Caenorhabditis elegans: one gene and its partner. The protein of the gene in region 2 interacts with the protein of the main gene of each other region in a pairwise test. Each region holds a gene or a part of one and is shown on either strand. Other genes may lie near its edges. The genes, in order: bag-1 and Y43F8B.2.

What was found.
Region 1: the proteins of Y43F8B.2 (region 2) and bag-1 interact in a two-hybrid assay, tested with the Caenorhabditis elegans proteins (2 studies listed by BioGRID).

What each region holds. Positions count from the first base shown.
Region 1 is NC_003279.8:6,563,055-6,566,362, forward strand, and holds bag-1 (BAG family molecular chaperone regulator 1), read right to left. Parts: upstream 1,398-3,308; 5' UTR 1,396-1,397; coding exon 1,236-1,395; intron 1,192-1,235; coding exon 848-1,191; intron 786-847; coding exon 657-785; 3' UTR 575-656; downstream 1-574. Other genes in the region: tmed-3 (GOLD domain-containing protein), read left to right, coding at 1-136, 302-481; mei-2 (Meiotic spindle formation protein 2), read right to left, coding at 1,814-2,103, 2,151-2,303, 2,351-2,637, 2,684-2,796; syp-6 (Thyroid receptor-interacting protein 11), read left to right, coding at 3,119-3,177, 3,223-3,296. UniProt on the Caenorhabditis elegans protein: May inhibit the chaperone activity of HSP70/HSC70 by promoting substrate release in an ATP-dependent manner.
Region 2 is NC_003283.11:19,529,846-19,534,680, forward strand, and holds the start of Y43F8B.2 (GSKIP domain-containing protein), read right to left. Parts: upstream 3,266-4,835; coding exon 3,203-3,265; intron 2,143-3,202; coding exon 2,048-2,142; intron 1,998-2,047; coding exon 1,888-1,997; intron 1,733-1,887; coding exon 1,621-1,732; intron 1-1,620.

The DNA of each region.
Region 1 (3,308 bases), on a different chromosome or scaffold from region 2:
ATTCTCTCATAAAATCGTTTACATGGATTGGCAATTCGGTGATCAAAATGCTCTTCATGCTGCCGTTACTCAAGGAGCTCATGCAATGACTCAATTAGAAAATTATGCAGTCGCTATTGGAGATAAATTGAGAACAGTAAGATTTTTATTTAAAAAGATTTATTTTTACAATTAGAAAATGCTCAAAACGTAACTTTTTCGAATTTTATGAATTCGTTCATTTTTCCAACTCTATTTTGCTGGGAGCTTACTAAAAAAGTTGTTCACCCGACATTTGACATACTTATAAACTTTTTTGTAGATTGATGACTATCAAACTCATCATCGTCTCCGTGAAGCAACTGGTCGCAAACGTGCAGAAGAACTCAACGAGCGCGTGATGATCTGGTCCCTTGGTCAATCTGCCGTCGTAGTATTCATTGGAATTGGCCAAGTTTTCCTGCTCAAATCATTTTTCAATGATAAAAGAACTCGTTATTAATTTTTTCACACCATTGCTCTTTTTTTTGTAATTAGCAGCCTTCTCATTTTAATGGGTCCCGTCAGTTGTTTTGCCCCTTTTCCTCCCTTTGATACATAGCATAAGAATATAATTTATTGATTTATAACTGAGTTTCATAACATAAAAACCCGAAGCAATTTTATGCAATTGAGAATTATTCAGGAATGTCTCCGTTGAGAACTGACTGATATTCCTGGAGTCTCCGAAGAAGTGCGTCATTTTGATTAAGAAGAGTTTGGATTCCGTTTACGAGCGTCTTGCGTTTTTCACGGTTTCGCTTAGCCTGAAAGTTGATTGAACTGAATCGAAAACTTATTCAAAGTACAAAATAAAATTATGACACACCTGATTTTCGGGAGTAGTTTCAGTGATAATATTCATCCCATCAAGAGTTTCCAGATGTCTTTCCGCCTCTTCGTTGAAATATTTCACTTTCTTTTCCAGCTTTTTCCCCATCTCGACCTGCTTTGGTTTTTCGAGAAAACCACGTTCCAAATCAGCGACATCTCTCAAATTGAGATCATAGGCTTTTTGAAGATTGCTCAAATTATGCTTCTCATATTGCATGAGCATTTTGAAGCCCGCGTCATCAACCAAAGCATTTTTTCCACCCATCACAATGATTTTATCATTTTCTTTAAAATTTAAAGTAGAAAGGGAGACATCGTCGGCGCCTTGAAGAAACTTTCCTGTAAAATACTTTGTCTCATTATTCCAAAAAATCAGAAACAACCTCTGTGCAACAACTTCATGGTTTCAACATCAACATCATTGTCGGTGGCGATTCGATCGCGTAGCTGCCCAAGTGTCAAAATAGATTCGTCTTCTCCTTGATTTTCCTCAAGAATGTCGATTGTAGTTTGAACGGATGAACACGACACATTCACCTTCATTTCTGAAAATTGATTTTGAGACAGTTTTAGCAGTGGGAGAAGCCTCCGAGTGTCGATAAATAAGAAATTGGAACAAAATTATTGTTAACTTATTAGAAAATTAAGAAACTTCTAGAAATGACGAGAAGCTTATGCGAAAATCAGTTCCTCCACGAGGTGTACACATCGATTGCAATGGGGCGCACTCGCTCAGAGACTTCAGAGAAAAACGATTCCATAGACAATGAATCACCGTTTTCGTACGATACTGTGAGGGACATTAAATTAGCCCATTTTTGTTTTTAAGTCACAATACGAGAGCACATGATAGTTTTTATATTGGACATGTAAGAAACACAATGTATGAGCAATAAAATAAACAGTGAGTTGGGTGATAACCATCGGTTGAATAATAAGTATGCAATTATTTACAAGAAAATTACTTATGGCTGGAAACTTTTTTCAATCGCTCGAGAATGGCATCGAGTTTGTAAATTGTCTCCTGGTCAATCTGTTTGTAGATTTTGTCCCGATTTTTAACTATTTTGCGAAAATTGTGAATGCACTCTGTTGCTTTTGCAGCTCGCTCTTCAGCTACCACATCGACTCCAATTCGCCGAGTTTTGGTGGATGCAAATCCGATGATTGTGTCCAGTAAACTGTTGGTAATTGATGCAAGAGCCTTCAAGCAAGCCGATCGCTTCCCATAATTGTCGCTCGTGATATTTTCTGAATTACAAAACATTAGAATAAATTTATCAGGAAGCAAAACCAACCCATGATAAATGTTAAACAAGCATGGCACGAGTTGAGACACCAAGAGTTTCTACTATTCAGAATTCTAATGACTGTGGGAGCGAGTTGGTTGTCGTTTGACAATATCTGTTCCATGTTACTTGTGAAACTCTTCATCTTATAAACACGAAGATCTGAAAAGAAAACATAAACTGAAAAATCAAAACTCTGCAAATCCTACTTCTGCTCTCTCGCTTCGCACAAACACCGATTTTATTCACTTCCTCGGTGCATGCGGACCACAACGACGCGTTTGATGACATGACTGACACGGATGATTCTGGGGAGGATTTTGGCAAAGAACTGCTATGTTCTTCACCTCTCGAAACCGGGTTCCGAGACAATTCCTTCTTCGACTCGGAATGCAATGGACGTCTTGAGCGAGTATTTGTGAACTCGGGCAGATCGGCTTTCACAGTTCGAGAACTCCCGATGAAAGTGATGGGAACGTCCTTTTCCGCACCGCGTCTGAAAAAAATATAATCGCTTCAGATACTTTTTTCGTAGAACTCACCGACTCGAAGTAGATCTTGTATTTGGTCTGTTTTCAGCGGATTTCGGAATGTCGTTGAGAGGCTTCCTATTTTTTGCATGTGTTAGTTTTTTCCGGTCGTCAAGCCCTGACATCTGAAAAATTTCAAAATTTCAAATTTAAGAAGAGACAAACATTTTATAATTGGAAAAAAACACAAGATATCAAAATTAGACGAAAGAAAGGAACTAGTAAACAAGAAAAAACCGTTTTCCCGCATAAAAGAAATTCCCGCGTAATTCTTTGAAGTACTATCGTACCCCGCATGAGCGCTGCGGGACCCGAATAACATCTCATATGCGCCTTTAAAGTTTTTAATATAAAGCTGGATTTTTTAATCCTAAGTATTTACTTTTGCCTCATTCCAATGAATTCTTGAAACGATATATTTAATATTTAATTTAGTTCTTATAGTAAATGGCTCCAGTACTTGGTTTGTTGGAAAATGAAGCGAAAGTCAAGTCGATCATCAGAAAGTAAGTCACCAAAAAAAGAAACAGTTTATATTAATTTAATTTCAGCAATAACCTACTCGAAAAAAAGTTTTCGAGCTTTCAAAGACAGTGTAGAGACCTATCAAGAAACCATGCACTCCGTAGGCGATTTT
Region 2 (4,835 bases):
TCAAAAGTTATAAAACATATGTAGAAAGTTGACGAAAATCGTCAAAAGTTGACAATTTGTGCCCAAAAATTGTGAAAACTCTACCATAATTGTAGTAAAGATGACAAATGTTGCCAGAATGTTGCCAAAAATGTTAAAATTATGAAAAATTTAAAGCTTGTCAAATTTTGCGAAAAGGTCTCCGTAACTTGCAATAAACTTATCTATCTTTGGAGTAAAATTGGCAAAATTTGGCAAAAATTGCCAAAACTTAAAGCAAGTTAGCAAAAAATTGCCAAAAATTTGGCAAAACTTGTTGAACACTCTCCAAAACTCGAAAAATGCTCAGAAAATTCCTATAAATCACAGACTTTTTCGTGTGCACTGACACAAAATGAGCACAATGAGCACAAAAACTTTTTGTGGAGCACATTCCCAAAAAGCTGGAACTCAATTATTTCAGGGGGCTCTGCTCATTTTGTATTCTTTTTCCTATTAGACACTGATGGAAATGGCATGGAAAACAATTATCACACGTCATTCCTTTATTTTGTAGGACTTTTGACTGAAAATTTGCTATTTTTGGAATCAGAAAAGTACGACAGATGTGTTTTTGTGACGCATAGGGGTACAAATAAAATGAAAAAGTTGGCAAACACCTATAAGACACAGTTATCAGGTGTTTGGAGCTAATTTGGGTAAGTTAGAAGAAAGTTGGCAAAAAAATAGGCACAAAATTAGCAAAGCCAAACAAAAGTCAAAAAAAAAATTAAATTAGCAAAGCCAAACAAAAGTCAAAAAAAAAATTAAAATTTAGTTTGCAAAGGATAGGGGAAAGTTGAACGAAAATTGACAAAAAGCTGGAAAAAACCGGCAAAAACTGGCAAATGTCTGGCGAAAGTCGCCAAAAGTTTCGGTAGCTTCCTGACAAACTTCAAAGCTTTCCGGCAGTTTTTCGACAATTCTTGCCAATTTTTGGCGACTTTCTGCCATCTTTTTGACAATTCTTTGCCAACATTTCGTCAGTTTTTGTAAATTTTTTGGTGACTTTCTCGCGAATTTTGACAACTTCTTGACAACTTTTTGGCAACTTTTGTCAACTTTGTGGTTTTTTTTTTGGAATCTATCAACAACATTTTGGCAATTTTTTGACGACTTTCTGGCAATTTGTTGGCAATTTTCGCACAATAATAATTTTCAATCAGATTCCTAATCCCCAAAAATAGGTGAAGCCAGCTGGAAAAATTGAGCCAATGAGTCAAAATGCTCGGTGAACTTAACGAAACTAATCTCTAATTACTTGAACAGCAGAAAGAAAAAATGACGGAAATCTCACGTTTCACTGTGTAAATCATGTGATTTTTGGGGGCAAAAAAAATGAACCTAACTCTTTTTTTCAATATTTACTTTAAGGGGAACGGTACTCTGCAGTTTGCAAAAAAGAGCAATTAAATAAACGCGTACTTTAGTACTCAAAAATTTTAAGGCAAATTGCGAGTTTTTGGGGAAAATTTTGAAAAAAATCAAAAAAAATTTAGTCCAAAAATTTAGTCCAAAAATTTTTTATTTTTTGAAAAACTCACAAATTTTAAACTTAGCAATTTTCTAATTCCAAAAAAAAAAAAATTCCTCTTCACAAACCTCTGTGTACAATTCAATTCCGACATACTTCCACCGTACGCCAAGTGATTATGTGATAGGCGGCGGTGATGGTGAGGTGTCCCCGCAGGGGATCGCTCCGGGGAGTGGTATTCTGAAAATTTATCATCATTTTTCCAAGAAAACTACCCAAAAATCTCATGTTTTTGCAAAAAAAATTTGGGCTAAAAAACACAAAATTGAGTTTAGCGTCAAAAATTGCAGTCCGACTGAAAAATTTGAATTTTCTGTTTTTCTTGATAAACTCACGACTTTTGGATTTATTTTTCTTGTATCGTTTTTCGACGTGACAAAGCTGAAAATGGCCGGGATTTTTGAGCTCCTCGTATATCTGAGCCGCGGAGCTCCATCGGATTGCGCTGAAAATTTTTGAAAAAGATTGAATTTTGCATAGCCGGCTTCTTCTCACTTTTTTTTCAAATACTCCGGAGCCGCCTCAAGAGTTTCGCCGGTCAAATTGGTGATCCGACACTCGCAACGGATTGTACAGGAGCAATTTGGCATCTGCAAAAAAATTTTTTTTTTAACTTTGGGGTTGTGTGAAATTTCAAGCTCATATTGAATCAAAAAAAATCAAAAAATTTCAAAAATTGGTAAAGTGACGTCATTTTCAACATTTGAGAATATTTCTTCGAAAAAATTTAGTTTTGGGTCCCGCCGCGAAAAGTTCTGGGATACTGTAGATAATAAAGACGTTTATAAAAACGCGTGGAAAAATTTCGAAAAAAAAAACTCAAGTATCGGTAGAGTGACGTCATTTTAAAACTGAAGAATTTCAAATTTTTTTCAAAAAAAATTTAATTTTTGGGTCCCGCCGCGAAAAGTTCTGGGGTACTGTAGAAATTGAAGATACACTCGTGAAATTTTTTGGGATACTTTTGTAAAATTTTAAGCTCATATTGAATTGAAAAATTCAAAAAAAAACTCAAATATTGGTAAAGTGACGTCATTTTAAAATTTGAGATTGTTTTCCATAAAAACTTTTTTTTTCGAAATTTTGGGTCCCGCCACGAAAACGTTCGTCGTATTGTAGTTTTTGGAGCGTTGTTATGAAATTTGTTTTTTTTTCTGCTCATAAAAATCACACAATTTCAAAAAATCTCAAAAATAGGCGGAGCGACGTGCTCTGGAAGTTTGATAACATTTTCCAGAAAAAAATTTTTTTTTGGAAATTTTGGGTCCCACCACGAAAACGCCCATGGTACTGTAGTTTTTGGAGGTTGTTTTTATGAAATTCATAGCATTTGTTGGCTGAAATTTCAAGCTCATATTGAAATTTAAAAAATTTGAAAAATCTCAAAAATGGGCGGAGTCACGTCATTTTGAATTTAGGAATTTTTCGAAAAAAATTTTAAAAAAATTTGGAAGATTTGGGTTCCGCTACGAAAACACTCGTAGTTTTGTAGTTTTTAGAGATATATTTTATGAAATTTATAGCAAATGTTGGTTGAAATTTTCTGCTCGAAAATTGTTTTTTAATTTTGAAAAATATAAAAAATCGGTAGAGTGACGTCATTTTGAAGTTTATGAATGTTTTTTCAAAATTTTCAGAAAATAAACTCACTTTCCGGCTAAAAGTCTCTGATTTCAGTAAAAATTGGAAGTGATGGCTTCTGGAAGGTCGCATTTTCAGTTGGAAAATTTTCAGAAATATTTTTTTTTAATTTCGAATAAATCCAAAAAGTGGGCGGAGTCAGTCAGGGGGCTTAACAGCTATAAATTAAACGCGAAAATACTTGAGAAAATGTATAAAGTCGGGGGATTATTTTTTTGCACATACAAATCGAATCAGAAGGATTTCAGCTGCTTTTCCAGCAACTAGTTCTAGATAAGTGAGGTGTGACGTCACTGAGGCTCCGCCCACTTATTGGCAAAAATTTGAAAATTACATAATTTATATTGAAAAAATAGTACAACTTTTAAGTTTAAAATTCACGAAAAAAATTTTCATTTTTTTTTTTCGTTAACATTTTTTCAAAAAAAGGATATAGCTTTTTTTTTTTTAAATTTTTTCTCTGAAATTTTCAAAAAAAAATTCCAAAAAGTTCCAAAGCCCGAATCACCAAAGAACACCAATTCCAGTTATCAATCATTAATTTATTTTCAACTTTCAAAAGTTTTCTTTTTCTGATAAGAAAAGACATCCAAAATTTGATAAGATTTTTAAGAAATAGTATTAGAAAATGAGAGAGTTGGGCAGAGAAATGAGAGAATCTTTAAAGGTTGATGACGTCATCTGAACGGGGAAAAGATCAATTTGAAGGGAAATTTGATGGGAAAAATGTAGAGGGTTAACAGGGGGTTAAATATGGGCATTTTTACAACAAAAAAATTTTTTAATTTTTTTCGTAAATTATGGCTTCATAAATGACAAAAAGGGCATAACATTGACAAAGGAAAGTAACTGAAAATTTCAATTTTCTGTTAAAAATTGGCAGAAAATTTAAATTTCCCGCCAAAAATTGACTGAAAATTTGGATTTTCTTTCCAAAAATTGACAGAAATTTTGTAAAAAAAAAATTGTGAATTTACAGCCAAAAATTAATTGAAAATTCAAATTTCCCGCAAAAGAATAATGCAATTTTTTTGAAAAAGCACATATTTTTTAGAGCGAAAAAATTATTAAAAATTGAGTAAACGTTTTGAAAAAATAATTTTAACATTTCACAAAAAAATTTGAAAAAAAAAATTTTCTCGATTTTTTAAAAATTCAAAAAAAAGTTTTTTCTTATTTAAACTAACTAACAAAAAAATTTGATTTCTATGCACAATGAGCACATTCAAATCAATAAATTTGAATTGAAAGCTTCTTCTCAAAAAAAACTCACCGGAAGCCCCTAAAAAAGAGGCAATAAATGCCGAGAGAGTGTGAGCTTCGAAAGTTTTTTTTTCGTTTTTTTTCTCAAAATGAAAAATGTGCCATAAATAGACACTCAGAGATAAAAAAAAGAAAAAGAAAAAAGTGTGCTCAACGGAGCAAAAAAACAATGAAAAACTGAAAAATAACGAGAAAATTGAGAGGAAAGTGGGGGGGGGGGGGGGGGGAGAAAAACAACATTTTGCAGGGCTCAATGAGCATTTTTTTTGAAGTGAAAAGTGCGAGAGGATTAGCTGAAAATGATGTAAATATTATTTGGATAAGGTTTTGAAAAAAAAATTTGGAAAAAAAATGGAAAAAAAAAATTTTCGAAATTTTT